Linked DNA regions of Macaca fascicularis. The protein of the gene in region 1 interacts with the protein of each later gene in a pairwise test. Links are inferred from orthologs where the notes say so. Each region holds a gene or a part of one and is shown in the gene's direction. Other genes may lie near its edges. The genes, in order: USHBP1, SERTAD3, CCDC146, EXOC7, PARVG, DTNB and CCDC116.

Evidence for each region.
Region 2: the proteins of USHBP1 (region 1) and SERTAD3 interact in binary tests that used the Homo sapiens proteins (3 or more experiments, as listed by UniProt). The two-hybrid records come from large-scale screens. The link is inferred for Macaca fascicularis from reciprocal best matches to the Homo sapiens genes USHBP1 and SERTAD3.
Region 3: the proteins of USHBP1 (region 1) and CCDC146 interact in binary tests that used the Homo sapiens proteins (3 or more experiments, as listed by UniProt). The two-hybrid records come from large-scale screens. The link is inferred for Macaca fascicularis from reciprocal best matches to the Homo sapiens genes USHBP1 and CCDC146.
Region 4: the proteins of USHBP1 (region 1) and EXOC7 interact in binary tests that used the Homo sapiens proteins (3 or more experiments, as listed by UniProt). The two-hybrid records come from large-scale screens. The link is inferred for Macaca fascicularis from reciprocal best matches to the Homo sapiens genes USHBP1 and EXOC7.
Region 5: the proteins of USHBP1 (region 1) and PARVG interact in binary tests that used the Homo sapiens proteins (3 or more experiments, as listed by UniProt). The two-hybrid records come from large-scale screens. The link is inferred for Macaca fascicularis from reciprocal best matches to the Homo sapiens genes USHBP1 and PARVG.
Region 6: the proteins of USHBP1 (region 1) and DTNB interact in binary tests that used the Homo sapiens proteins (3 or more experiments, as listed by UniProt). The two-hybrid records come from large-scale screens. The link is inferred for Macaca fascicularis from reciprocal best matches to the Homo sapiens genes USHBP1 and DTNB.
Region 7: the proteins of USHBP1 (region 1) and CCDC116 interact in binary tests that used the Homo sapiens proteins (3 or more experiments, as listed by UniProt). The two-hybrid records come from large-scale screens. The link is inferred for Macaca fascicularis from reciprocal best matches to the Homo sapiens genes USHBP1 and CCDC116.

The regions. Positions count from the first base shown.
Region 1 is NC_088393.1:17,583,620-17,587,678, reverse strand, and holds the start of USHBP1 (harmonin-binding protein USHBP1), read left to right. Parts: upstream 1-1,259; 5' UTR 1,260-1,702; coding exon 1,703-1,756; intron 1,757-1,851; coding exon 1,852-2,000; intron 2,001-2,301; exon of another isoform or gene 2,302-3,020; coding exon 3,021-3,459; intron 3,460-4,059.
Region 2 is NC_088393.1:47,545,587-47,549,547, reverse strand, and holds the start of SERTAD3 (SERTA domain-containing protein 3), read left to right. Parts: upstream 1-1,161; 5' UTR 1,162-1,198; exon of another isoform or gene 1,199-1,385; intron 1,386-1,529; exon of another isoform or gene 1,530-1,656; intron 1,657-2,439; exon of another isoform or gene 2,440-2,750; intron 2,751-3,347; exon of another isoform or gene 3,348-3,511; intron 3,512-3,747; 5' UTR 3,748-3,753; coding exon 3,754-3,961.
Region 3 is NC_088377.1:144,179,880-144,182,394, reverse strand, and holds the end of CCDC146 (coiled-coil domain-containing protein 146), read left to right. Parts: coding exon 1-92; intron 93-1,462; coding exon 1,463-1,666; 3' UTR 1,667-2,015; downstream 2,016-2,515. UniProt on the Homo sapiens protein: Essential for sperm flagellum biogenesis and male fertility.
Region 4 is NC_088390.1:82,528,223-82,531,722, reverse strand, and holds part of EXOC7 (exocyst complex component 7), read left to right. Parts: intron 1-2,698; coding exon 2,699-2,921; intron 2,922-3,500. UniProt on the Homo sapiens protein: Component of the exocyst complex involved in the docking of exocytic vesicles with fusion sites on the plasma membrane.
Region 5 is NC_088384.1:7,370,835-7,374,334, reverse strand, and holds part of PARVG (gamma-parvin), read left to right. Parts: intron 1-761; coding exon 762-863; intron 864-953; coding exon of another isoform or gene 954-962; exon of another isoform or gene 963-1,067; intron 1,068-3,500. UniProt on the Homo sapiens protein: Plays a role with ILK in promoting the cell adhesion and spreading of leukocytes.
Region 6 is NC_088387.1:96,566,272-96,570,494, forward strand, and holds the start of DTNB (dystrobrevin beta), read left to right. Parts: upstream 1-1,423; 5' UTR 1,424-1,602; intron 1,603-4,223.
Region 7 is NC_088384.1:31,499,067-31,503,166, reverse strand, and holds the start of CCDC116 (coiled-coil domain-containing protein 116), read left to right. Parts: upstream 1-1,300; 5' UTR 1,301-1,394; coding exon 1,395-1,664; intron 1,665-2,442; coding exon 2,443-2,997; intron 2,998-3,111; coding exon 3,112-3,696; intron 3,697-4,100.

The DNA.
Region 1 (4,059 bases):
TTAAGAGCAGCCTGGCCAACATGGCAAAAACCCATCTCTAGCCGGGTGCAGTGGCTCACGCCTGTAATCCCAGCACTTTGGGAGGCCAAGGCCGGCGGATTACTTGAGGTCAGGAGTTCAAGACCAGCCTGGCCAACATGGTAAAACCCTGTCTCTACTAAAAACACAAAAATTAACCAGGCGTTGTGGTGGGCACTTGTAATCCCAGCTACTCGGCAGGCTGAGGCAGGAGAATTGCTTGAACCCAGGAGGTGGAGGATGCAATGAGATCGCACCGCTGCACTCCAACCTGGGCGACAGAGCGAGACTCCATCTCAAAAAAAAAAAAAAAAAAAAAAAAAAGAAGGTTGGGCGTGGTGGCTCACGCCTGTAATCCCAGCACTTTGGGAGGCCAAGGCAGGTGGATCACGAGGTCAGAAGATCGAGACCATCGTAGCTAACACGGCGAAACCCCGTCTCTACTAAAAATACAAAAAAATTAGGTGGGCGTGGTGGCGGGTGCCTGTAGTCCCAGCTACTCGGGAAGCTGAGGCAGGAGAATGGTATGAACCCGGGAGGCAAAGGTTGCAGTGAGCCAATATCGCACCACTGCACTCCAGCCTGGGCGACAGAGCGAGAAGAGAACTGTCAGCCCACAGTGAAGAGACAGGCAGAGAAGAAGAGTTCACAGGGGAGCCAAATAAAAGCCATATCAGCTCAGGGGAACATTCTAGCTCTTTTTTTTTTCTTTCTTTTTGAGACAGGGTGTTGCCTTGTTACCCAGACTGGAGTGCAGTGGCGTGACCATGGCTCACTGCAGCCTCAACTTCCAGGTGTTAAGCAATCCTCCCACCTCAGCCTCCCGAGTAGCTGGGACTACAGGCATATGACACCACTCCTGGCTAATTTTTATATTTTATGTAGAGACGGGGGTCTTGCCATGTTGCCCAGGCTTGTCTTAAACTCTTGGGCTCAAGCGATCTGCCTTCCTCAGCTTCCCAGAGTCCTGGGATTACAGGCGTGAGCCATGGTGCTCGGCCCATTCTAGATCTTGAGAAATAAAATCCAAGCGTCAGAGCTAGAAGGGCCATGGGCTTGGAGGCTGAGACGAGGAGGGGCTGAAACCTTGGGAGTCAGGTATGTGTGCCCCGCTAGGGCTGCAGGAAGCTGCTGTCCTCAAAAAGGAAACAACACAATAACAAGTCACATGACCAGGGGAGTGGGTTCCTGTTTCCTGGTCCCTCCCAGGCCAGGCTTGGCCAGCCCAGGCCTGACCAGGCAGTGGCCAGAGTGACCCCAAGACGGCGTCCAGGGACTCAGGCCTCTGATCAAGTTACCCCCAGAAGATCAGAGAGGTAGAGAGCTGAACCCGTCATTTAGGAGGGCCGCGGAGGAGAGGGAATTATTGAGATTGCATTTCCAGGCTCAAAGAGAGGAGGGAAGGGGACAAAGACGTAGTGAAGGTAAAGAAGGCAGAGAAGAAGGGGGAGATCCAGACAACCTTGTTAGGTAGTGAGCTGCCTGTCCAGGAGGCATTCAAATGTGCCCAATCAACATTGATCACAAAATCCCTTCCTGAGGGGTAGTCAATGTCCCATTTCACAGCAGAGGAAATTGAGGTTGTCCTTTGTCCAGGACAACAAAGGCAAGAGGTCATGGCAGGCTGTGGTTTTAGGGGTTGACGAAGGAGAAGCATTCAGAGAGCACTGGCTTCTGGACAGCAATGAGTGCCCGGGCCACGCGGCCCCGAAGCCGGCGAGGGAGGCATGCTCCACCCGTAAGTGTCGCCCTCTCCCCTCCACACCCAGCTCCTGGGGACCCCAAGGTCCCATCCTGCCTGGCTCAGAGCGGGGCCACGGGGGTCATTTGCAGGGTGAACTGGACCCCGTGGCTGAGAGTTCAGAGGAGATTGAGGCAGCCAGTGGGAGCTCCAAGCTCAGCTTTGCCCCACCTCCTGTGAGCTCCGGGCTGGAACAGCTGGGCCCCATGGAGGAGGTCAGTGGCCAAGGCCTAGGAAGCAGGTAAGACCCCCTTGGTCTGTGCCCTTCACTCCAGTCCACATGCATCTTTGCCATCTGCAGATCTGCTGATGTGCCCTCTCTGCTCACACACCTACCATAGCTCCCTGTTGCCTTCAGCCTGACTTTCTTTTCTTTTTTTTGAGTCTTGCTCTGTCACCCAGGCTGCAGTGCAGTGGCACAATCTCCACTCACAGCAATCTCTGCCTCCTGGGTTCAAGAGGGAGCCTCAGCTTCCCGAGTAGCTGGGATTACAGGTGTGTGCCACCACACCCAGCTAATTTTTGTATTTTTAGTGAGACAGGGTCTTGCCACGTTAGCCAGGCTGGTCTTGAACTCCTGACCTCAGGTGATCCCCCCACTTCGGCCTCCGAAAGTGCTGGGATTACAAGTGTGAGTCGCTGCCCCAGAAGACCCCATTTCCAGAATCTTCTGTCTCTCACCTTCAGGACTTTCCCACTGCCCGTCACAGTCCAACTTACTATTCACTCTGCTTCGTAGCCCCAGGTCTCCCCTCCAACTTCTCCACCACCTCTGTCCAGCCTCTTCCCTGAATTCCCAGCCTCCCAGTCTCTCCCTGGGATGCAAGTCCCAGAACACGCAGCTCTTGCCAACTCTGCCCCGCTCACACCTCCCGAAGACCATGAAGTTTAAGCCCTAAGAATTCCCTGCCCTGGGCTGAGCGTTGTGGCCCATGCCTGTTATCGCAGAACTTTGGGAGGCCAAGTCGGGCGAATCACCTGAGGTCAGGAGTTTGACATCAGCCTGGCCAACATGGTGAAACCCTGTCTCTACTAAAAATACAAAAATTAGCCGGGCGTGGTGGTGGGCACCTGTAATCCCAGCTACTTGGGGGACTGAGGCAGGAGAATCACTTGAACCCAGGAGGTGGAGGTTGCAGTCAGCTGAGATCGCACCACTGCACTCCAGCCTGGGCAACAGAGTGAGACTCTGTCTCAAAAAATAAAAAAGAATTCCCTGCCCAGCATGGAGCGACTCAAGTGCCTGAGTTGGTGTCCACAGGACCGACAAGAAGACGGATGGGGGCTCTGGCAGGGGACTGGCCTCAGCCCCCGAGGTGCCCCACAAACCTGCAGTGGAAGCCTACCAGGCCCCAGAAGCAGCCCTACAGTACAAGGAGACTGTGCCCCCTGGGATTGGGGCCCCCGATGTGTTTCAGACCCTCCAGCACGCTCTGAGCTCCCTGGAGGCAGCGGCTGCAGCCTGGCGCCACCGGCCCCCCAGCCATCCTGGGCCAATGGAGTTGGAAGACACAAGCAAAGGGGGACCAGGTCCCCTTGGGAAGCAGGAAGGGGCAGGGAGCAGCCAGCGAGAGGCAGCTCGCCTGGCTGAGAGGAATGCCTGGCTCCGGCTGGCCCTGAGTAGCCGAGAGGATGAGCTGGTCCGCACGCAGGCCTCCCTGGAGGCCATCCGAGCTGAGAAGGAGACGCTGCAGAAAGAGGTGAGTGGGGCCATCCTGAGTCCTATGTGGCTCTCTGTCTGAGGGAGGAGGCAGGCCCGATGTAGGCAATATTCATTCATCTGTTCATTCCAAAAACCTTTTGAGGCTGGGTGTGGTGGCTCACGCCTATAATCCCAGCACTTTGGGAGATGGAGGCAGGAGGATCCTTTGAGGCCAGGAGTTCAAGACCAGCCTGGGCAACACAGCAAGACCCCTACCTCTGCAAAAAATAAAAAATAAAAATCAGCCAGGTTGGCCAGGCACGGTGGCTCACACCTGTAATCCCAGCACTTTGGGAGGCTGAGGTGGGCGTATCACAAAGTCAGGAGTTCAAGACCAGCTTGGCCAACATGGTGAAACCCCATCTCTACTAAAAATAAAAATAAATAAATAAATAAAAGCCAGGTGTGGTGGCATATGCCTGTAATTCCAGCTACTCAGGAGGCTGAGGCAGGAGAATCACTTGAACCCGGGTGATGGAGGTGGCAGTGAGCTGAGATCACATCAATGTACTCCAGTCTGGAGAACAGAGTGAGACTCTGTCTAAAAAAAAAAAAAAAAAAAAAAAAAAAAATCAGCCAGGTTGGCTGGGTGCGGTGG
Region 2 (3,961 bases), about 30 Mb from region 1:
GAGATCGAGACCATCCTGGCTAACACGGTGAAACCCCATCTCTACTAAAAATACAAAAAAAATAGGCGGGCGTGGTGGCGGGCGCCTGTAGTCCCAGCTACTCGGGAGGCTGAGGCAGGAGAATGGCGTGAACCCGGAAGGCGGAGCTTGCAGTGAGCCGAGGTTGCACCACTGCACTCCCGCCTGGGTGACAGAGCAAGATTCCGTCTCAAAAAAAAAAAAAAATAATAATAATAATAATAATAAATAATAAAGATCCAGAGGCCTTTTATTGTCATGTTTGAGAACTTATGTACCTGGCATTGTAGACACTGGGGTAAGGCAGGGAAGAAAACAAACAGACAAAATCCTTTCGTTTTCGTGATGGGGGGAATGGGAGCTTGAAGCCATTTTAGAAAAACTGGAAGTGACTCAATGGGGCAGGATCGGAGAGAACCAGGAGAGCGCATCAGGCAAGGTCGTGAGGGGCTTTGTGGCAAAAGGAAGGGGTTTGAAGTTTGTCTTCGGGGAGGAGGGGTAGGAAGCCATGAACAGCAGCGGAGGAGTCATCTTGTTGGAGCGGGGAAGAAGAGAGGTGTCAGGAGACCCAGGTAGGACCACCAGAGGACGCGTTGAGAAAACTCGAGGATTAAGAAGGGGCCGCGGGGTAACGTACGGGGGGCGGGAGAAGCGCAGCAAGGGGGCGGGGCTGCGATCGCCTAGGCAACGCGGGCCGCGTCACACCATTGGCTGGCCTTTCGGTACGTCATCCCCCGCCCCGGCGTCCGCCCTCGGAACCCCGGGGGCGCGACCTCCTCCGGTTGTTCGGCCCCGCCTGCCTGGACCTCCCGGAGCCAGAGGGTATGCCAGCCCCTCTGGCTCCGCGGTGGGGTCCAGGCCTGGCAAAAAGGGACTGCAGGGAGTAGTGGTGACGATCTTGGAGCGAGGACCGTAGCCCAGTGGAAGGAAGCGGTTCTCTTGGACCAGCCGCCCTCCACCCCTGGAGGCGCTGCCCCGCCCCCTGCCAGTTGCACTCCTTTAAATGGCCCGGGGCGCTAGGGAGGGGTGGGCGGGTCCGGCGTCTCCGGGCAATGGTGGATGGCTCCGCCCAGCCAATCGACGCCCCGCGGCGGGCGGGACTCCAGCCAATCGCGGCTCGCGGCTCGGCTCCGGGGCGGGGCTGGGTGGGCCCGAAGCCAGACGGAGAGGCCCTGCCGAGGTGAGCGAGGCCCCGGCCGGTCACTGGTGGGTCCCGGCACTGGCGGGTCGCGACGCTGTGGGCGTTCCAGGAGGTGGTCGTGGCAAACCTGGCAGCTGGGGTGAGGAGTGGTCGCCTGGCTTGGGAATTTACCTTAGGCTGGAGGAGGGAGAGGCGCGCCCCGGAGACTTGCGGAGGCGGGGTCTGGGTGAGACCGGGGGAGGGGGCCTCAGATTCAGGGTGATGATAGGGAGGGTCTGGGGGCCCGAGACTGAGTTCGAGACCCAGGAGGGGATGCGAGGTTGTTGGGGCAGTATTTTCAAGTGGAGGGAGTTTGAAGCTGGGACGTGGGGCGTGGGGCGTTTGGAGAAGCGAGAGAACAGAGGGAAGGAACTTTTGAGACAGGGAACCTGGAGATTCGATTCCACTTGGGTCTTCCGGACGGGTTGAATTCGGGGCTTTATCGTGTTCTGGAAAAGGTGTGAGAGGTTTGGGGCTGAGATCCTGAGTATTTGGAGAAGCGAGAGAGCTAGGGTCAAGGATTCTTGGACTCCAAGACGCACTGGCGGGGGAAGGGAGGATGCCGGGAAGAGTTCAATGTTCGGGTCTTGGAGCCGGGCAGCGAGTTTAGAGGTGTAGTCCAGGGGCGTTTGAAAGTCAGGAGAATAGGGGAAGTGGGAGGAAGTATCAAAATTAGGATACGTAGTCTCGCGAACTAGATCGCAGCATTGTCGTCTTTGAGCGATGTGTTCGGATCTGGGTCTCTGGATCCAAGGGCAGTTTGGGAGGAGAATCCCGGACTTTCAAGGCACGGAGGGACAGGGAGAAAGCAGATTTAGAGCCGGAGTCAGGGGTGGGGGAGGGGTGTTCCGGGCATGGAGCTCAGACTCGCCGCCCCGGAGGCAACGGAGGGCGGGGCTCGGTGGGCGCCGGCAGCTGGACGTCCGGGTTCCCTTCCCCCACTCGCTTGTGCCACTGTGCGCATGCCCTGAGGGAGAGCGGGGTCGGGGGAGGGGGGCTCGTCCCCTGGACGGGCGGAGCCCTCTGGGGATTGTAGTGCGTGCTCGACGTCGGTTCGTGTACCTGGCGGCTGTTGGCCCCCGTTTCCCAGAAGCCCCTGGGACAAATTGGGGCGTTCCTGGATGCTCTCTAAAGACCCATGGAGGGGCGGGGCCTTGCAGTGCCGAGGTCTGATTGGGCGGGACCCCCCTAGGGGGCGGGGCTTGGTCTGAGCTGAGTTCTAGCAAGTTTTCCTGTGGGGCGCGCTTTGGGGGAATCTGAAAGCGCGGGCAGAGGGAATGAGGCCCCTTTCCTACTCTTGGGAGCGCTCCCAGTTGGTTAAGGAAGAGGACATGGAAATATCCTGACTGTGAAAGAAGAATCTTAACATAGGTGCCCCAGCAGGGACCCAGGAAGTTCGAATATAGTAGGCACTCAGTAAATCTGTTGAGCGTATAACTGGCAATTAACTCTTGATCGAGGCCGGGTGTGGTAGTAATCCCTACTCAGGAGTAATCAGCTACTCAGGAGCTGAGGCGGGAGGATCGCTTGAGCCCGGGACTTCGAGACTTCGGTGAGCTGTGGTAGCGCTGCTGCACTCAGCCCCGGGCGACAGAGCGAGACCCTGTCTCTAACAAAAAAAAACAAACACGGCCGGGCGCGGTGGCTCAAGCCTGTAATCCCAGCACTTTGGGAGGCCGAGACGGGCGGATCACAAGGTCAGGAGATCGAGACCAGCCTGGCTAATACGGTGAAACCCCGTCTCTACTAAAAAATACAAAAAACTAGCCGGGTGAGGTGGCGGGCGCCTGTAGTCCCAGCTACTCGGGAGGCTGAGGCAGGAGAATGGCGTAGACCCGGGAGGCGGAGCTTGCAGTGAGCTGAGATGCGGCCACTGCACTCCAGCCTGGGCGACAGAGCGAGACTCCGTCTCAAAAAAAAAAAAAAAAAAACACAACTCTGGTTCATTAAGCACTTCCTGTGTGGTGGGCCCTATAGATACGTGGCATCTCCTTAGACAGAGGTGGTGAGAAGTATTTTTTTTACAGTCCCCATTTTACAGATGAGGAAACTGAGGCCTGAGAATTGACTCAGGTCACTTCCCACGATCACGCAGCTGAGCAGTTTCCAGTACAGAAATCAAATTTGGGGTTCCCTAGTTCCAATCCAGGTCTCTCTGCTCCACACCTGTCTTTCGTGCTCCATGTTTGAAGAAATTAATATTGTGGAAGAACAGTTTTAAGGCTCAGAGGAACTTGTTAGGATCCGTATTTGGCAGATGAGGAAATTGATTCTCATGGATGTAAATTCACTGTTTGAGGCCACAATAGGCAAGTAAGTGGGATTTAAATCTAGCTGTACTTAAGTCCAGATCTTATTTTCTTAATCACATATGTATTCACCTCCTTAACCTTGTAGGATTCAGACAGCCTTCATTTTATAGATGAGTAAACCGAGATTCAGATGATTAAAAATCACCAACAACTCAATAGGCCTGAAAAAGTGGGATTTGAGCCAGCACTACGGTGTCTGGTGTCTGACATGCCCCTATGCCCCTCTTCTCTCTACAGGGCATCATGGTGGGAGGCTTGAAGAGGAAACACTCTGATTTGGAAGAGGAGGAGGAGAGGTGGGAGTGGAGTCCAGCAGGCCTTCAGAGCTACCAGCAAGCCCTGCTCCGCATCTCCCTAGACAAAGTCCAGCGCAGCCTGGGCCCCCGAGCACCCAGCCTCCGCAGGCATGTCCTCATCCATAACACCCTCCAGCAGCTGCAGGCTGCACTTC
Region 3 (2,515 bases), on another chromosome or scaffold:
GTCTGCCACTCAATAAGGAAATTGAGAAAGAATGGTTGAAGGTCCTTCGAGATGAAGAAATGCATGCCTTGGCCCTCGCTGAAAAGTCTCAGGTAGGCTTTGGCTCCTGTATTGCTTTTCTAAAGGGTGCCAGCAGGGGCTGCTTTCAGGGGGTCATTCATCCCACAGTATAAGAAAAATTTCCCCACTCTACCACACACAGTCCCAACAGTCATCAGAAGTGTGTTTAAAGATATTCTATAGATAAGTCAAAGTGCAGTAATCCAGAGTGCCACAATACTCACTGAAGAACACTTAGCAAGCACAGGTCCCACCCCACAGCCTTACATCCTGGGCTGCCGAGGCTGAACATCATGGCCTTCCACCAGCATAGTGACGACCAGGCTGGCATCGGTCTTGTCTCTAAGTCTCCAATCTCTGTCTTGGCACCTCTGCTCAGACCACACCTGACTGTTCCATGTTCATCTGCTGTGGCCTCCACAGCATACAGTGAGGCCTCCACCCACATTATAGTTGCCATGCCTTCTGCAGATGCTCGATGTACATCATAGGCCTCAGCGGCCCCCCTTTATTTTCCCACCTTAGTCCTCTGGCCTAAGGCTAGGTCTATCACTGACTCCCCCTGCAAGTTAGATACCAGATCTTCTGCCTACCCCCATGACCTGTCAGTATTCTTAGACTGGAATTAGGCATCTCTTTCCAAGGAGTCTACATCCTCCAGATGTACAACTCACTCAAACTGTCCAGTGGATGTCACCAAAAGGGTCCCTATTTGCTCCTGAACCCAAGACAAAACTGCATTCAAAACACACTAGGAATACCTGAGCACAGGTATAAATTACATGATTTATAATTTCCGCACCACCTGGGACTGTTCCTTTTAGGGCATTCAGATTTTACCTGTGGTGTCCCACTGTCATTTATCAGAGGGCTTTTTAGTGCAGTAAGTGATTACTCTGTTTTCCAGAGGCACAGGCAAAATCTCGAAAACGTTGCGGTTCAGAGCAAGCTGGTGACCGTTTTCCTCCTCTGGTTGCACTTTACTCCTCTATCTCTTCCATTGTAATATTTGCTCACCAATGACTTACCAAAGGAAATATGTTGCTCTGCCTTTGTCAAAAACAGGGAAATAATTAGTGCTTGATGACAGATATTGAGGTGGAAACATAGTTAGGACCCACGAAGCAGTCTTTGAAAAACCCTAAACTCCAGGAATAATGTGATGCTGAAGCAATACAGCCCATTCCAATGAGGGGTGGGTGGGTGGGTGGGGGTGTGTGTGTGTGTGTGTGTGTGTGTGTGTGTGGTGTGATTCCACCCTCCTACTCCTCCCATCCCTTTGGGGAGTATCAGCTAGCACAGTCAAAGACTGTCCAGGCCAGCTGCGTCTTTTGGGACCTAAGGATAAAGTGACTTCACCAGCGTTTTCAGAGAACTGAAAAGGAAAAATCATTCTTTGCAGGAGTTCTTGGAAGCAGATAATCGCCAGATGCCCAATGGTGTTTACACGACTGCAGAGCAGCGTCCAAATGCCTACATCCCAGAAGCAGAGGCCACTCTTCCTTTGCCAAAACCTTATGGTGCTTTGGCTCCTTTTAAACCCAGTGAACCTGGAGCCAATATGAGGCACATAAGGAAACCTATTATAAAGCCAATTGAAATCTGAGTAGGTGAACAAATCCAGGCCTCTCAAGGAGAGGACTTCAACCAGGCTTCCTTGTACCCACAGGTGAAAAATGTGAGCATAATACTTCCAATTTTATTGATAAGTAAGGTAACCACAATTAGTCAACAACAGAGTACAACATGGTTTCTTTTTACCTACCAACTACTATACCTTTCATGACATTGAATAGGACACAGAACTGTCCTACATTTATATGTCAAAGTATATATTTGAATTGCTTATATTTTCTTTTTCACTCTTTATGTTGAGTACATTCCAGAAATTTGTAGTTGGCAAGGTGCTATAAAAATGCACTAAAAATAAATCTCTTTTCAATGAAGTACAGAAATTGGCAGAGTAGTCTTTGTTTATTAAAGAAAAAACAAATACCGTTCAATCTACACACTTTAAAAAGAAACAATGGCTATTTGAAAAGGAAAATATCTCAAGTATTGCAAAGGCATAACTCACTTTGTCGAATAAGAAGTAGCACTTAATCTTGGTAAATCTAAATTATGTAAAGTAGTGAAACTTGTCATGGCTGTTTGCATTTTTTTTCATTTTACTTTTTTGACTAATAATAATTGTACCTACTCATGGGGTACATAGTGAAGTTTCAGTACATATAATGTATAGTGATCAGATCAGGGTAATTAGCGTATACATTCAAACTTTATCATTTCTTTGTGTTGGGAATATTCAGTATCCTCCTAGCTGTTTGAAACTATATATTATTGTTACCTATAGTCATCCTACAGTGGTATAGAACATAGGACTTATTCCACCTATTTCACTGTAATTTTGTGTCTATTAACAAATCTACCCCATTCCTTCCTTTCCTCATCCTTT
Region 4 (3,500 bases), on another chromosome or scaffold:
ATTTTTATAAATGTATTTGTTGTTTCTTTATTTTGGTTAAAAATACATAATATAAATTTTTTTTTTTTTTGAGACGAAGTTTTGCTCTTGTTGCCCAAGCTGGAGTGCAATGGTGCGATCTCCCAAGCGATTCTCTTGCCTCGGCCTCCTGAGTAGCTGGGATTACAGGCGTGCGCCACCACTCCCGGCTAATTTTTTTTTTTTTTTTGTAGTTTTAGTAGAAACGGGGTTTCACCATGTTAGCCAGGCTGGTCACGAACTCCTAACCTCAGGTGATCCGCCTGCCTTGGCTTCCAAAGTGCTGGGATTATAGGCGTGAGCCACCGTGCCCGGCCAAAATATACTATTTTAACTCTAAGTTAACAGTGGCATTAAGTCCCTTCACAATGTTGTGTAGCCATCACCATTATTATCTCCACAAATATGTTCATCTTCCTCAAGTGAAACTCCACTCCCATCAAACACTAACTTCCCATTCTCCCTTCCTCTGTCTTCTGGTAACCACCATTCCACTTTCCGTTTCTGTGAATCTACTCTAGGAACTTGAATCTATGTGATTTTTTTTTTGCATTATATATTTTTAATTTTTTTTTTTTTTTTTTTTTTGAGACAGAGTCTTGCTCTGTCGCCCAGGCTGGGGTGCAGTGGCCAGATCTCAGCTCACTGCAAGCTCCGCCTCCCGGGTTTAGACCATTCTCCTGCCTCAGCCTCCCGAGTAGCTGGGACTACAGGCGCCCGCCACCTCGCCCGGCTAGTTTTTTGTATTTTTTAGTAGAGACGGGGTTTCACCGTGTTAGCCAGGATGGTCTCGATCTCCTGACCTCGTGATCCGCCCGTCTCGGCCTCCCAAAGTGCTGGGATTACAGGCTTGAGCCACCGCGCCCGGCCAATTTTTAATTTTTTTTTAAGAGACAGGATCTGGCTATGTCATCTAGGCCAGACTGCAGTGGCACAACCATAGCTACTGCAGCCTCGAACTCCTGGGCTCAGGCAATCCTCCCGCCTCAGCCTTCCGAGTAGCTGGGCCCACAGGCACGTGCCACCATGCCCAGCTAAGTTTTAAATCTTTTGGTAGAGAGGAGGTCTCCTGTGTTGCTCAGGCTGGTCTCAAACTACTGTCCTCAGGTGATCCTCCCACCTTGGCCTCTCAAAGTGTTGAGAGGGATTATGGGCATTAGCCACTGTACCTGCCTTCATTGTATCTTTGTGTTTAAGTTTTGGGGTCATTAGATCATCAGAGCAAGATAGTGGCTTGGCCTCTGGAAATCACAAATCTATTTTCTGTCTTTATGGATTTGCCTATTCTGAATTTCTGATATAAATGGTATCTTATAATACATGGCCTTTTTTGCTGGCCTCTTTCACTTAGCATGATGCTTTCAAGATCAGTCCATGCTATAGCGTGTATCAGTACTTCATTTCTTTTTCTTGCATATGCTATTCCTTTTTGTGGATAGACCACAGTTTCTTTTTTTGTTTTTTGTTTTGTTTTGTTTTGTTTTTTTGTATTTTGAGACGGAGTTACGCGCTTGTTGCCAAGGCTGGAGGGCGATAGCACAATCTTGGCTCATTGCAACCTCTGCCTCCTGGGATCAAGCGATTTTCCTATCCCAGTCTCCTAAGTAGCTGGGATTACAGGCACCCACCACCACACCCAGCTAATTTTTTATATTTTTAGTAGAGACAGGGTTTCACCATGTTGGCCAGGCTGGTCTTGAACTCCTGACCTCAGGTGATCCGCTTGCCTCAGCCTCCCAAAGTGCTGGGATTACAGGCGTGAGCCACCATGCCCAGCCAGACCACATTTTCTTTAGCCATTTATCCTTTGATGGACACTTGGGTTGTTTCCAATTTTTGTCTCTTGTGAGTAATGCTGCTATAAACCCTTTTATACACGTCATCGTGTGGACAGATTCATTCTCTTCTATGTTTGGGATACCTGTCTTTTATCAGATATGTAGTTTACAAATATTTTCTCTCATTCTGTGGGTTATCCTCACTTTGTTGATGTTATCATTTGCAGCACAGAAGTTTTCAATTTGATACTGTTCAAGTTATTTATTTATTCTCTTTTGCAAACCCCCCACTAACAAGAAGACACATTAACGGTGCAGTGAGAAAATAATCAGCCAGTATTTATTAAGCACCTACTTCTTGTAAAACCCTGGTTTTTACCTGTAAACACAAATTTTGAGAGAATATGAAGTAAAGGAGTCACCAAGGCCGCTTCCTGACATTTCTTCTTTGGGTTAAAGGATATCAGGGCAGGCCAGGTACGGTGGCTCATGCCTGATCCCAGCACTTTGGGAGGCTGAGGCAGGTGGATCACCTGAGGTCAGGAGATCAAGACCATCCTGGCCAACATGGTGAAACCCTATCTCTACTAAAAATACAAAAATTAGCTGGGTGTGGTGGCATGTGCCTGTAATCCCAGCTACTCGGGAGGCTAAGGCAGGAGAATTGCTTGAACCAGGGAGTTGGAGGTTGCAGTGAGCCAAGATTGTATCACTGCACTACTCCAGCCTGGCGGCAGAGCGAGACTCTGTCTCAAAAAAAAAAAAAAAAAAAAAAAGGGTATCAGGGCAGAAAAGGGCAGAGGCCCTGAGTTAGGAAGACCAAGCTGGCACAGGCAGGGGAAGGCCAGGACTGGCAGAGCACTGAAGCAGCAGGCACCCGCTTCCTTCTGTTGTCCCTGCAGAAACTGCTCTTTGAGCGCGGGAAGGAGGCCCTGGAGTCTGAATTCCGCAGCCTGATGACACGGCACAGTAAGGTCGTCTCACCTGTGCTCATCTTGGATCTGATCAGTGGTGATGATGATCTGGACGCCCAAGAGGATGTGACCCTGGAGCACCTGCCCGAGAGCGTGCTGCAGGATGTCATTCGCATTTCCCGCTGGCTGGTGGAATACGGCCGCAACCAAGGTAAGAGGTTCTGACTCGGCCACGTGGCACACTGGAGGCAGAGTGAGTTTTTTTTTTTTGAGATGGAGTCTTGCTCTGTTGCCCAGGCTGGAGTGCAATGGTGCAATCTCGGCTTGCTGCGGCCTCTGCAACCTCGGGTTCCAGCGGTTCTCCTGCCTCAGCCTCCTGAGTAGCTGGGATTACTGGCGCACGCCACCACACCTGGCTAAGTTTTGTATTGTTAGTAGAGATGGGGTTTTGCCATGTTGGCCAGGCTGGTCTTGAACTTCTGACCTCAGGTGATCCACCCACCTCAGCCTCCCAAAATGCTGGAATTACAGACGTGAGCCACCGTGCCCAGCTGCCTTTATTCTTTAATCCACTTGTCGTGGCTTTTTTGATAAAAGGATGTTTAACTGGAACCAATATAAGCAACCATTCTATGACTTATATATCAAGCTGTGAATCTAGGCAAATTCAAACTTTTCTTGTCTTGATTTTTATGTTCATTTGCCTTTTTTGATTAGTTGTAAAATTTTCAAATGGTACAGAAAGCCATGGGTGAAAAATAAAAGTCCATCTTCCACTTCCGCGATGCCT
Region 5 (3,500 bases), on another chromosome or scaffold:
GGATGATTATGATTTCTGAGATTTACATTCTACCTGTTCCATCTTTATCTCTCCCTTGGTAAAATAATGGGTTTTAGAGACTCATGGCATGTGCAAAGGTGGTATTTAGAGACTGTTCAATAAAACGGGGTAAGGAAGTCCCTTGCATTCCAGTTGTATTACCAAGGAATAGCGGCGGAAAAGATTTCAGGCCCAAACTAATAACATCGAAACAGGCTTAATATGAGGAAATTCCATTAAGGGCTTCGAATGGCAGTTTCTTCCAATATCCCATCCTGTGTTTTGTATCTTTGAAGAGACTCAATACGATTATATTAACATATGATATGCTGGTGGCAGGGACGACAGCTTTATCTCTGAACATACAGAACAGACAGAAATATTAATGTGGCAGCCGGCGAGATGAGCCCGGTGTGCTGCTCTCTGCCTTTTCTGATGGAATAATTTTACACTTAACTCTATTTTCCCCTGTGTTTCTGTAGCTTGTGAAACAGCGTGCTGTTTAAAAACTGACATGAGGCTATTCTGCAGTAAGTTTAGAAAGCGCTTTTTTCACTGAGCAGGTATTGTGTACCAGGCAGCCCGAAACCACTTTTTACCTGCAACCCTGTGAGGTCAGGAATGTCTTCCCCACTTCTCACCAAGGAACCAGCGGCTCAGAGAACTTGTACGGCTTCCTTAGGGCCACACAGCCTGTAAAAGACACAGTGGGCTTCCCCAGACTTCTTCCGTATGACAGTCTTCAGTTCCTACCTTTGTAGTTTGCAGACGGGGTCATCTTACTCCTGCTGATTGGACAACTTGAAGGCTTCTTCCTGCACTTAAAGGAATTCTACCTCACTCCCAACTCTCCTGCGGAAATGGTAAGTTTTCCAAAGATTTTTCTTGATGGTCTACCTCTGGGTGAACAGATATACAGAACTGACATGACCAGTCTGTTTATTCACTTCCAGGTGACGTGAAGGGTGTAGGAGAAGCTTGTTTGTCTATATATCTGCCTGTCCATCCATCCATCCACCCATCCACCCACCCACCCAGACACCCACCCGTCTATCCACCCACCCACCCACCCAACAAACCAACCATCCATCCATCCATCCATCCATCCATCCATCCATCCATCCATCCATCCATCCATCCTTCCATCCATCTTTCCATCCATACATCCATCCACCCACCCACCCATCCATCCATCCACTCACCCACCCACCCACCCATCCACCCACCCACCCACCCATCCATCCATCCATCCATCCACCCACCCACCCACCCACCTATCCATCCATCCATCCACCCACCCACCCACCCACCTATCCATCCATCCACCCACCCACCCACACACCCACCCGTCTATCCACCCACCCACCCACCCATCTATCCATCCACCCACCCACCCAACAAACCAACCATCCATCCATCCATCCATCCATCCATCCATCCATCCATCCATCCATCCATCCATCCATCCTTCCATCCATACATCCATCCACCCACCCACCCATCCATCCATCCATCCATCTATCCACCCACCCACCCACCCACCCACCCACCCATCCATCCATCCACCCACCCACCCACCCACCCACCCATCCATCCATCCACCCACCCACCCACCCACCTATCCATCCATCCATCCATCCATCCACCCACCCACCCACACACCCACCCATCTATCCATCCACCCACCCACCCAACCAACCAACCAACCAACCATCCATTCATTCATCCATTCATCCATCCATCCATCCATCCATCCTTCTATCCATACATCCATCCATCCTTCCATCCATACATCCATCCATCCACCCATCCATCCATCCATCCACCCACCCACCTACCCATCCGTCCACCCCCCCACCCACCCACTCATCCATCCACCCCCCCACCCACCCACTCATCCATCCATCCCACCCACCCACTCATCCATCCGTCCCACCCACCCACCCACTCATCCATCTGTCCACCCACCCACCCACCCATCCATCTATCTATCCGTCCATCCATCATCTACCTATCTATCTATCCCCGTCTACCTATTATCCACCTACCCATCCACCTATTAGCCCTTCTGTTCACCTACCAAGCCACCCACCATCTATGCACACATCCATTTAACTGCCCACCTATCCATCCACCTACCTGCCTGTCCATGCACCTATCTTCCTGTTTATTCATCTACCCAGTCCATCCATCCATCCATCCACCCACCCACCTGCCTGCCTGTCTACCCACCCATAGGAAGTTGATCTATATGTCTGTCTGACCATCCATACATTCATCCATCCACTTGCCTACCTGTCCATTTACCTGCTTGTCGTTTCATGCATCCATCTGTCTGTCCTTCAGTCCATCTTTCTGTTCTGTTTATTGATCCACCCAATCTACCCATACACCTGCCTGCCCATCCACCCACCTGCTCACCCACCCATCCGCTACCCACACGTCTGTTCCCTCATTCCCTGAGGGCCTGTTTAGTGCCAGGCCCTGAGCTGTATGGGATGTTAAGATGATCCAGCACAGCTCCTGCTTTCAGGGACCTCTCAGTCTATGCCCACTGTTCTCCTGGTGACATGTGGTCTTGCAGGGCCACAGCAAAATGTGTTGGTTCAGATGCCTGGGTCAGAGGAGGGACCTGGAACAATGAGGGGTTAGAATAATCTCAAGGAGTCAAGAAGGGCATTGCATCAGAGGCGAGCTGGGAGGTTGGTTAGGGGTTGGTTTGCACAGTTACCGAGGAAGGGCTCGCAGAGGGGAGGGAATAGCGTCAACAAAGGCTCAGAGTGGGGCAAGAACAGGAATGGGTCAGGGAGGTGTCATTGCTTCACTCTGGCTAGAGGGGCTGGAAGGGTGGGGCCTGACCTGGGGGGGCTCAGCAGTTCCTGGACCCTAGAGGCTGGTGGACTGGCTTGGAGCTGGCTGCCTGCATCCAGGCACGAGGGCTGTGGCTTGACCTGAGGAAGAGGGACGGAGAGAGTGATGGAGGTGAGGTGGGAGGGCAGGTGAGCCTGCGAAGATGCAGCTCCCACCGCCTCTTCCCCAGGTACAGCCTTCAGTGCCCACTGGCTAGTCCTGCCTCCGCCCCCACCAGGCCCCTGTTGTGTGTGCTGCCACTTCCTCGAGCTCCCTGGGCTCTCACACCTCTGGGCTTTGGCACAGGCTGCTCCTCTGTCAGGAGTGCCCTTCCTACCCGGTAGGCCTGGCCCATGAGAAGGGATTTTACTACTTTCCAAATAAGGAAACAGAGGTCCACGGGGGGCCAAGGCTTACCCTGGGTCACTACCAGGCAAGAGGCCTGGGTCTTGTGCTTTTCACCACCAGCTCCCTGCCTGCCTGGACCTCAGGTTTTCTGTCTCTGAAAATGGGCTGACAATGCCTGCCCCCCACTCAGGCCACACAGGTAGTAAGAAAGAGTTTGGAGAACCATCGAGGAGAAAGCACTGAGGGACATGTGGTCCCTAGTGTCCCCAGCCTTGCCTCTCACAGGAGGTGACATTGGAGGC
Region 6 (4,223 bases), on another chromosome or scaffold:
CTCTTGCCCAGGCTTGGAGTACAGTGGCGCGATCTCGGCTCACTGAAACCTCTGCCTCCTAAGTTCAAGCGATTCTCCTGCCTCAGCCTCCCAAGTAGCTGGGATTACAGGTGTACACCACCACGCCCGGCTAATTTTTGTATTTTTAGTAGAGACAGAGTTCTGCCATGTTGGCCAGGCTGGTCTCGAACCCCTGACCTCAAGTGATCTGCCCGCCTCAGCCTCCCAAAATGCTAGGATTACAGGCGTGAGCCTCGACGCTCGGCCAAAAATGCTCATCTTTTGAGGAACCTATTTGTTCCCATTTAACAAAGTTGGTTATCAGCATTTCCTTCACCATAGGAGTTTAAAAATAAAAAGAGGAGAGGAGGAGGAAGAGGGTGTTCTAAAGGCAGGCAGGCAGGCAGCAGCAGGAGGTGGCACGATCTGCCTTACCATAAGGTGCCAAAAAACAGTGAAAACCATACTCCCAGCATGCAAGCCTGGGGTCGCTTAGCTCTGGAGCTTACAGCCTTCATCATTGACCAATAGCCCCTAAAGGACGTTGCTGTTTTGAGTCTTAAGTAACGTTGAGAAAAATGACCATTTGAACCATTTACAAAGTCCTTGCTACATCCTAATTTGGCACCATCTCCTGTATTTCACACAGTTTGGAAAGAATTCTATAAAAGATGGGTAACAGTAAAACACAAAAAAGCTGGTGCTTTGATGGTAAATCTGACTGCCCCTGGCTCCTTTGCCCAATCTGTTTTCCCAGCCCTAATGTCCTCCCTTTTTCCTCTTAGGACTTCTTTTTCTTCCTTCGAGGCTGACCATAAATGCCGCCTCTTCCAGGAAGCCCTCTGCGGCGTCCAAGCGGAAGTCATCTCTAGCTTCTGTGCCTTCCCACAGCATCGCACTGTGCCTTGGCTCTGCACAGGTCACCGGACTTGGTTGTGTACACGGCTGTTTTCCCCGCTAAGTTTGGGGAGCCTCGAGCCCAGGCGCTGTGACCGTGATCGTGCGCCCACAGGTACCTGGTGCGGCGCGGGGTGAACGCCGCGGCTGAGCGAGCTTGCGGAGTTCATGCGGGTCACTCGGGCAGAGGCTTGTGCCCTAGGCGCAGAGAATGATTCACGGGGTGGCTCTTTGCATTCTTTGCCCGGTAGTCACGTCGGGCCGGGCACCCTGCCGGCGGATACCAGCGGATGGAAAGGGACCGGGCCCGGCGCCAGAGAGCGGGAGAAGCCTGGATGGAGCCAGCTTCCCGCCTGCCCGGAACCGCGGGGGCGGGGTGAAGGGGTGCTCGGCCGCTCCCGCCCCCTCCTCTCGCGCAGAAGCCACGCCCCCGGTCGCGCGCTCGCGCTGGGCGCGCGCCCGCCCCTCCACCCTCCGCCCTCCGCCCTCCGCCCTCGCGCCCTCGCGCCGGGGGCGGGCGCTGCGCGTGCCGGGCGGGGAAGCTGTGCGAGCCAGGCGCTGCGAACGTTCGCCGCGGGGGCGGCTCCGGGGCCTGAGTGGGCGCCGCCGCTGCCTCAGCCGAGGGGGCCGGGCCGGAGCGTGAGGAGGAGTGAGGCCGCAGGAGACCTTCCCGACGCCCCCTGCTCCTGCAGGGAAGTGAGCAAGGTGGGGGTCTGCGGCCGCCGCCGGGGCTGCGGGGAGCAGAGTCGGGCTGGAGCCTCGCGCCCGCGAGGTGCGGGACGGGAGCCCGCGCTGCGCCGGGACTGGGGACCCGGGAGTCTGCGGGTGCGGCGCCGCGGGAGGCGGGGAGGGCGCGGGGAGCCGGGGCCACTGCACCGCGCGGGGCTGCGAGGTGGGACAGCGCAGTCGGCCGCGGAGGGACAGGCAGAGGGGATGCTGCGGAGCCCGGGCCGGGAGGGGTCTCGGGGTCCGGAACGCGCCGGGGCACGGGCGCGAGCTGGGGCGCGGCGCCGGGCTGATGCTGCCCGAGCCCGGCTCGCCTGGAGGCGGCTCTGCATTAGGTGCTGAAGGGGCGAGTGAGGCAGGTCCTGGCAGAGGGCAGGTGAGGCGGGCAGGCCCTGGCAGAGGGAAGGATATTTATTTCAGATCACCCCAAATCACTTTTTCCCGAGGTGCCTAATAGCGAACCTATCCGGGAGGTCACCCTGGTCAGGAAAGTGTCCCGAGAGGAGGATGCCGGTAACGAATACTTGCCCTTAAATTCCCGTGCCAGGCCTTGGGATTAGAAAGACCTTCCAGCTACTGTGGGTAGAGACCCGTAGTCAGCACTGGGGCCACGAAATAGTATGAAACACCCTCATGTTATTGAGGTGCTGGCAGTGTGACTGTGAAGATATGCACATAAAATACAAAAGAGCGTCCAATTTTATGTTTTATGCCGTATTCACTTTAGGTCTCTTTTGTCTTTTCCCAGTATTGGGAAATTGAAGCCATAATTTGCGTGATTTGGAGAAAAAGCGGAAAGGTCAAATAAGCCTATGGGAGAAATTTGGGAGAGTTTCGAAGGCTCCGACGAAGGCTCCTACGGGTACCATTTAAAGGGGGCTCTCAGAGGGGAAAAAAGACGTTTGGAAAGAAAGGAAGTTTCCTTCCTTCCCAACCAGAAATAAGCTCCATGACAATTCACTGCAAAGTCTTCAGAATGTTGCCTGTCTCACAGCGGTCGAGCCATAAATGTCTATTGCATGAATGAATGGACAAGCAAGATTTGGCCACATTTGCCATGGAGCAGTGTCAGTCACTCTAGTGTTAGGGAACGTTGCTAGATTTCCCCTGTTCCACAAGTTCTCTCTCTCTGCCTTTTTTTTTTTTTTTTTTTTTTTTTTGCCATGCCAGGCAACCCAGTTTCTAAGGTCTGGGCACGTTAAAGCAATGGCTAAGGCGGCGAGGTCTTGGTTTCTGTGGCCATACTACCACTTTCCCATGTGTCTTACATGTTGACCGTCAAGAGCTTGCTCCTTGGGCTGTTGCTTGAGATCATCCCATTTTGTTCCTTCTCCCATTGGCTTTTCCTGTCACTTGAGAAGGAAGAGGGTAGTGTTGTCTAGAAAACACTTTTTCATTTTCATCCTAGTTCTTGGATCTTAGACCTGTAGTGCGAGGCTATCGGTGCCTCTGCTTTTCTGTAAGGGCTAGAATCCTACCTGTCCTCTGCCTTGGTTGAATCTCTGAACTCTGGAGCTCCAGGCTGCTGTTTCAGTAACCTGGGTTGCAGTGCCTGTTGGGTTACTTTGTCTGCCAAATTAAAACTTGACCTTTTATGAGTTCTCTGAGGATTTTTATCATAATGCATAAGTGGAATTGCCTTTCAAAGGGGTTGTGCAGTCAAGGTAGTGCTGGCAGTTTTTGGATGTCCACTATGCCCGGGAGACAAATTTCTACCTATGGTTAGAAAATTAGACTCAGAACCAAGAGAATTTCAACTTATTGTTTTATTTTTTGTCTTTATATTACCCCAGGGCCTTAGTTTCTTCGTGTGAAAAATAAGAGTAATAATCAAAATCTGGCATTGTATAGGAAGTCTTGAATAAGTAAATTTATTTCTCCTGTTTGAATTATATGAGCATCAGAGCTGTGGCGTCTAGTTGTGTAGATTGTATACTGCCCAGCTTTAGGGAGCACCATTCACATTGGAGTCCCCGTGCCCGGCAGCTCCTGGAGTTGTGTAGTGCACACTCTGTGTGACTGTGTACAGCCAGCAGGTCTCTTGTTGAGAGGTGCGTAGGTTCTACAATATTGGGTGCCTTATTCCAGGCGCTCTCGATGATATTTTGTTTATATATTTATTTTAAAACCAACCTATTGATGTATAGTGGACACAATAAAATGTACAGATTTCCCATGTGTGGTTGGATGAGTTTTGGAAAAATGTGTACAGTGGTCCCCCCATTAGCCTCAGGGATATGTTCCAAGAGCACCAGTGGATGCCTGAAGCCACAGCTGATTCCAAACCCTATATAGACTGTTTTTTTCCCCTATACTTAAGCACCTATGATAAAGTTTTAACTTATAAATTAGGTACCATGAGAGATTAATGATTTCTGTTAGGCATATGTTTGGCTTCTCTGTGGCATATCCCAATTGCCAGCATCACTACTCTTGCACTTCGGGTTTATTATTAAGTAAAACAGTGGTTACTTGAACACAAGCACTGTGATACCATGACAGTCAATCTGATCATTGAGACAGCTACTAAGTGAGTAACCAGAGGGTGGCTTATGCAGTGTGGATATGCTGGACAAAGGAATGGTTCACATCCCAGGTGG
Region 7 (4,100 bases), on another chromosome or scaffold:
GCACCCAGACCTGCTTTGTCCTCTCTGTCCCTGACCTAGTGGGTAGCCAGAGCTGAGAGGACAGAGCAGAACTCGAGAGTAACAATATTTCATGAGGTATGTGAGGATTGAAAGCCTCATAGAGTCCTTCAACCATGCTCTTGGCATAACGACTGTTGTGTTTATAGTGACTGGTGAATTGTCAGACCTCAACCAACCACCATTCTCCACTGGAAGCTGATCTTGGAAAGGTCAGAGGTCCCGAGGGTGCGCAGATGGGAAGGAGGAGACTGACATTTATTGAGCACCTACTTGGTGCCAGACACTGAAAGTATTAAAGATTCAGGGTGACTTGCCTCAGTTCTGGCCCCAAAGGAGCACCATCTGGTAGACACATAAGTAGCAACATGGTATGGTGGAGTCTGGAATGGGGTTTACTGTGAATCGTGTACGGAGTGGCAGAATTCACAGTAAAAGCTTTTTGGAAGAAGTGACACTGTGGTGGGGTATTACTGAGCAAAAGAGAAAAGGAGGGAGGGAGAGGAGGTAAGAATATTCAAGGCTTCACTGGGATACGGGGTGTGTTGTAGGGAGATTGTATTGAATCCCATATTCCCATATTGGAAGAACACTCAAGCCCATTTAGAGTGCAGGACCAATGCTAAGAGAGGCTGAGTCACATTGGCAGGAAAGAGCAGAGCCAGGAACTGAAGCTAGGTCTGTGACTGAGAGCCAGCACTCTCTCCACTGCAGAGGGGAGAAGTCTCAAGGTAGAATCTGGGGCTGTGCACACCGCGGGAGGGGCAGAGGCCCCTGGAAAGGAACAGGAGCAGGAGGCCCAGGGCTGCGCAGCGACCAGGTAGGACACGAGGAAGGTGCTTGTATCACCGGTGGAAGACGTGGCTTTGGCTTTTAGACTCCCCTCGGGGCAGGAGCGGATCATAGAGCCTAGCCCCAGCTTCGGTGGTGGGTGGGGGTCCTCCCGGCAGCGGGGACGTAGACACCAACATCTTCACCCTGCGGCTCCCAGACGAGTGTGGGAGAGCAGAGTCCAGAGAATTGGAGGTTGGGCCAATGTGGGCCCCGCCCCCAACTATTGTGTCGGAGAGGGTAGTGGATGAGCTCCTCGGTAAGAACCAATGAGGATGTGGTATGCAAATAAGCAAGTGGAGGCCGCCAGTCGACTTCCTCGCACTGTATAGCTGTCCCAGTGAGGGCGCAGACTGTACTGGCCTGCGCGGAGCAAGGCGGTGTTTCTGGTGAGTCCGTTGATTCCGGGCTGGGGCGAAAGCCAGGTTGCCCAGGGTTTGGGAGTAGGGAGGGTTAAGCACACGCAGATCCAAAGATGATCGGAGACAGGATGGTCCTCGGCGATTCCATCCCGATGACTCTGGGAACTGCCTGCCTGCAGACGCATGAGGGCCATGGAGCAGAGGAAGGGCTGGATGCATGAAGGACACGGGGTGCGGGCAGCAAGGGAACCGCAGATTCCAGGGCCACAGATGTGTGGACCTATTGGAGACCCTCACGTTGTCTCCCCAGCCCACGCAGAGAGGAATGCGCAGCTGAAGAGAGAGGTGGGCAGCAGGCTCGGTCACCTGCCAGGTGACCACATGGCCAGGTGCCGCCACCACTCGGGCTACGTGGCTGACGATGAGGCCAGCCACTCCATGTGCAGTGCACGAGTAAGTGTGCCCAGTAGGACCCCGACCCTTAAGGCCACAACATGTTCCCCGCCAACCCTGACACCCAAGACCACAGCCCCCATTTCTCATTGTCTATTGACCTGCTCTGTGGGCCTCTTAGCTGAGTCCTTATTGCCTTGACTTCTCCTATGACTCCCCTGCTTGCCCCTGTCACACTCAATTTCATTCCTTGTTTCCTTCTGACTTCCAGCGACCTGGAAGGTGCTTGGGTGAACTGGGACCCTAGAGTGGGAACTGGGAGTTGACTAGGTGCCTAGGGCTCAAGTTGGAGAAACAGCCCTGGGTAGCACAGGGCTCAAGACCTCAGCTATTGTCTGCACTCAAGACCTCAGGTGTTGTTTGCAGCCCTGCCATGGAGACAGGGATGGCCTGCTGCATGGACAGATGAGGAGCTGGAGGGAGACTCCAAGAGGTTCATGATTGCTCATCCTGCCATGTATCAGGGCAGAAGCAGGCTAAGTCCCTTAGCCAGGACTTGTGTGTGTGAAATGTAGGTGTTAGGAAAGCTTCAGGGCGACCCTGAATAGACCTCCACTTTGCAGATAAGGAAATTGGACCTCAAGAGGGGCCATCTTGCACACTGTCATCAGGCTGTAGGTGGCAGAGCCAGGGTCCAAATCCAGGGCCTCCAGACTTCAAAATGCAGCTCCTTCCACTACTCACTCTCACTCAGGTCCTAGTGTTACCCTAGGAAGACCCCAGGGAGCCCTTCACCTGTAGGGCACCCATGCCCACTGTGACATACCTGTCTGCTCAGGTGCAGCTACCCAAGAAGCCACTGGTTCCAGAGATGGGGCCAGCCTCCAAGCCGGGCCATGTGCCACACCCACCATCCACATGTGGCAGCTCAGCGCTCCAGAACCAACGCCGAAACAAGAGGCACCCTCAGCCCTTTAGCCACTTTCTGGATTTCCTGACTGAGAGCCATGTCCTGGACAGCCTGGAGACAGTGGTGGAGAAGGCGACTGAGCGCATGGCTGCCATGAAGACCGAGGCTGGGGTGCCGCTTGTGGAGGTGCAGGACCCAGTGGAGGTGCCAAGTGGTGGGCGGCGGGCACATGCCCGGCCCAGCCTCAGCACTGTACACCGGCACCGTGTACGGCCGACCCTCTGCACTGGACACCCCAACAACTACCCATCCAGCTCCAGCTCCATGTCCGACTCCCATAGCAGCCTCATGGCTGGCTGGCTGGGCTCCCACAGCCGGGACAGTGACCTAGGTGCCCAAGGTTTAGGCTCACTGCCACCTGTGAAGGACAAACTCCTGCTGGAGAAGAATCTCAAGCGGCTGCTACAGCTGGAGAGGAAAGGGGTGAGAGCCGGGGCCATGGCTGGGTGGGGTGGACTCCCACGGAGAGCCCAGGGCCAGGGTCAGCCCTGGCTTGGCTGCTCCTGAACACTTCTCAGAGTCACCCTCTTTCTGCAGAAAGGCCTCAGTCAGTCCTGCTCCAAGAGGGACTCCCTGCTGTGGGATTTGCTGGGCAGCCAGACCAGCTTTCAGTGGACCCAGGAGCAGCCCCTGTCCTGGTTCTCGGAGCTGCTGGGCTCAAGCTCTGGTGTGCCTGAAGCATCAGAGCCGAGGCCTGGAGAACAGGAGCCGATCTGCAAACGAGAGTTCAATAAAGAGATCAAGTCGTTACTGAGCCAGCTGGAGTCCCTCGACCTGCCTGGCTACTGTCCGCTCCGTGAGCCCCATCGCACACTGAACTTCCTGGCTGACCACCGCCTCTTCCCTGCCCTGCAGAGCGTCGTCAACCAGGCTGTGGATAAGCTCCGCGGCGCCCGCTGCCGCGACGGCCGTCCTCTGTTCCCCACCAGCTTGGAGCCCCCCTCAGAGCTGCAGGTTCAACGCAATCTGCCGCCGCTGGGCTCTGAGCCGGCTAAACCCACCAACAGCGGGCAGCCCCACCCCACAGTCTCCAGCCCCAAGACGCCTCAGAGAAAACACAAGGACAGAGGAGGCTCCCCCTCCATGTCTAGTGCCCAGGTGGCCACCAGATTCAAGCTCAAGGTGACACCCATGGAGAAGCCCGATGTCCCCAGCCCCTCACTCCACTCCAGGGAGAAGGAGCCTGACTCAGATCCCAAATTACAAAACCCACCTGTTTCCCTGAGCTCCAGACAGAGGGCCCAGCCCTGGCGGGGCCTGCACCTCACCCTGCCCGCGCCCGGGATAGTGGTGGAGGTGGCCTGCGGCCAGGGCCACCTCAGGGTTGTCACACCTCCACTTGCCTGCCCCTACCCCCGCTCTTCCTGCTACCTTCTCCCTGAGCTCTCCCCAGTTACTTCCTCATCTCCCTCCTCACTGTGTCCAGAGGTGACCTCCTCGAAGGTAGGACCGGACATGAGTTTGCAGGAGAAAGGCTCCTTGACCCACCACTCCTAGCAGCCACTATCACTGGCAGGTGCTCAAGG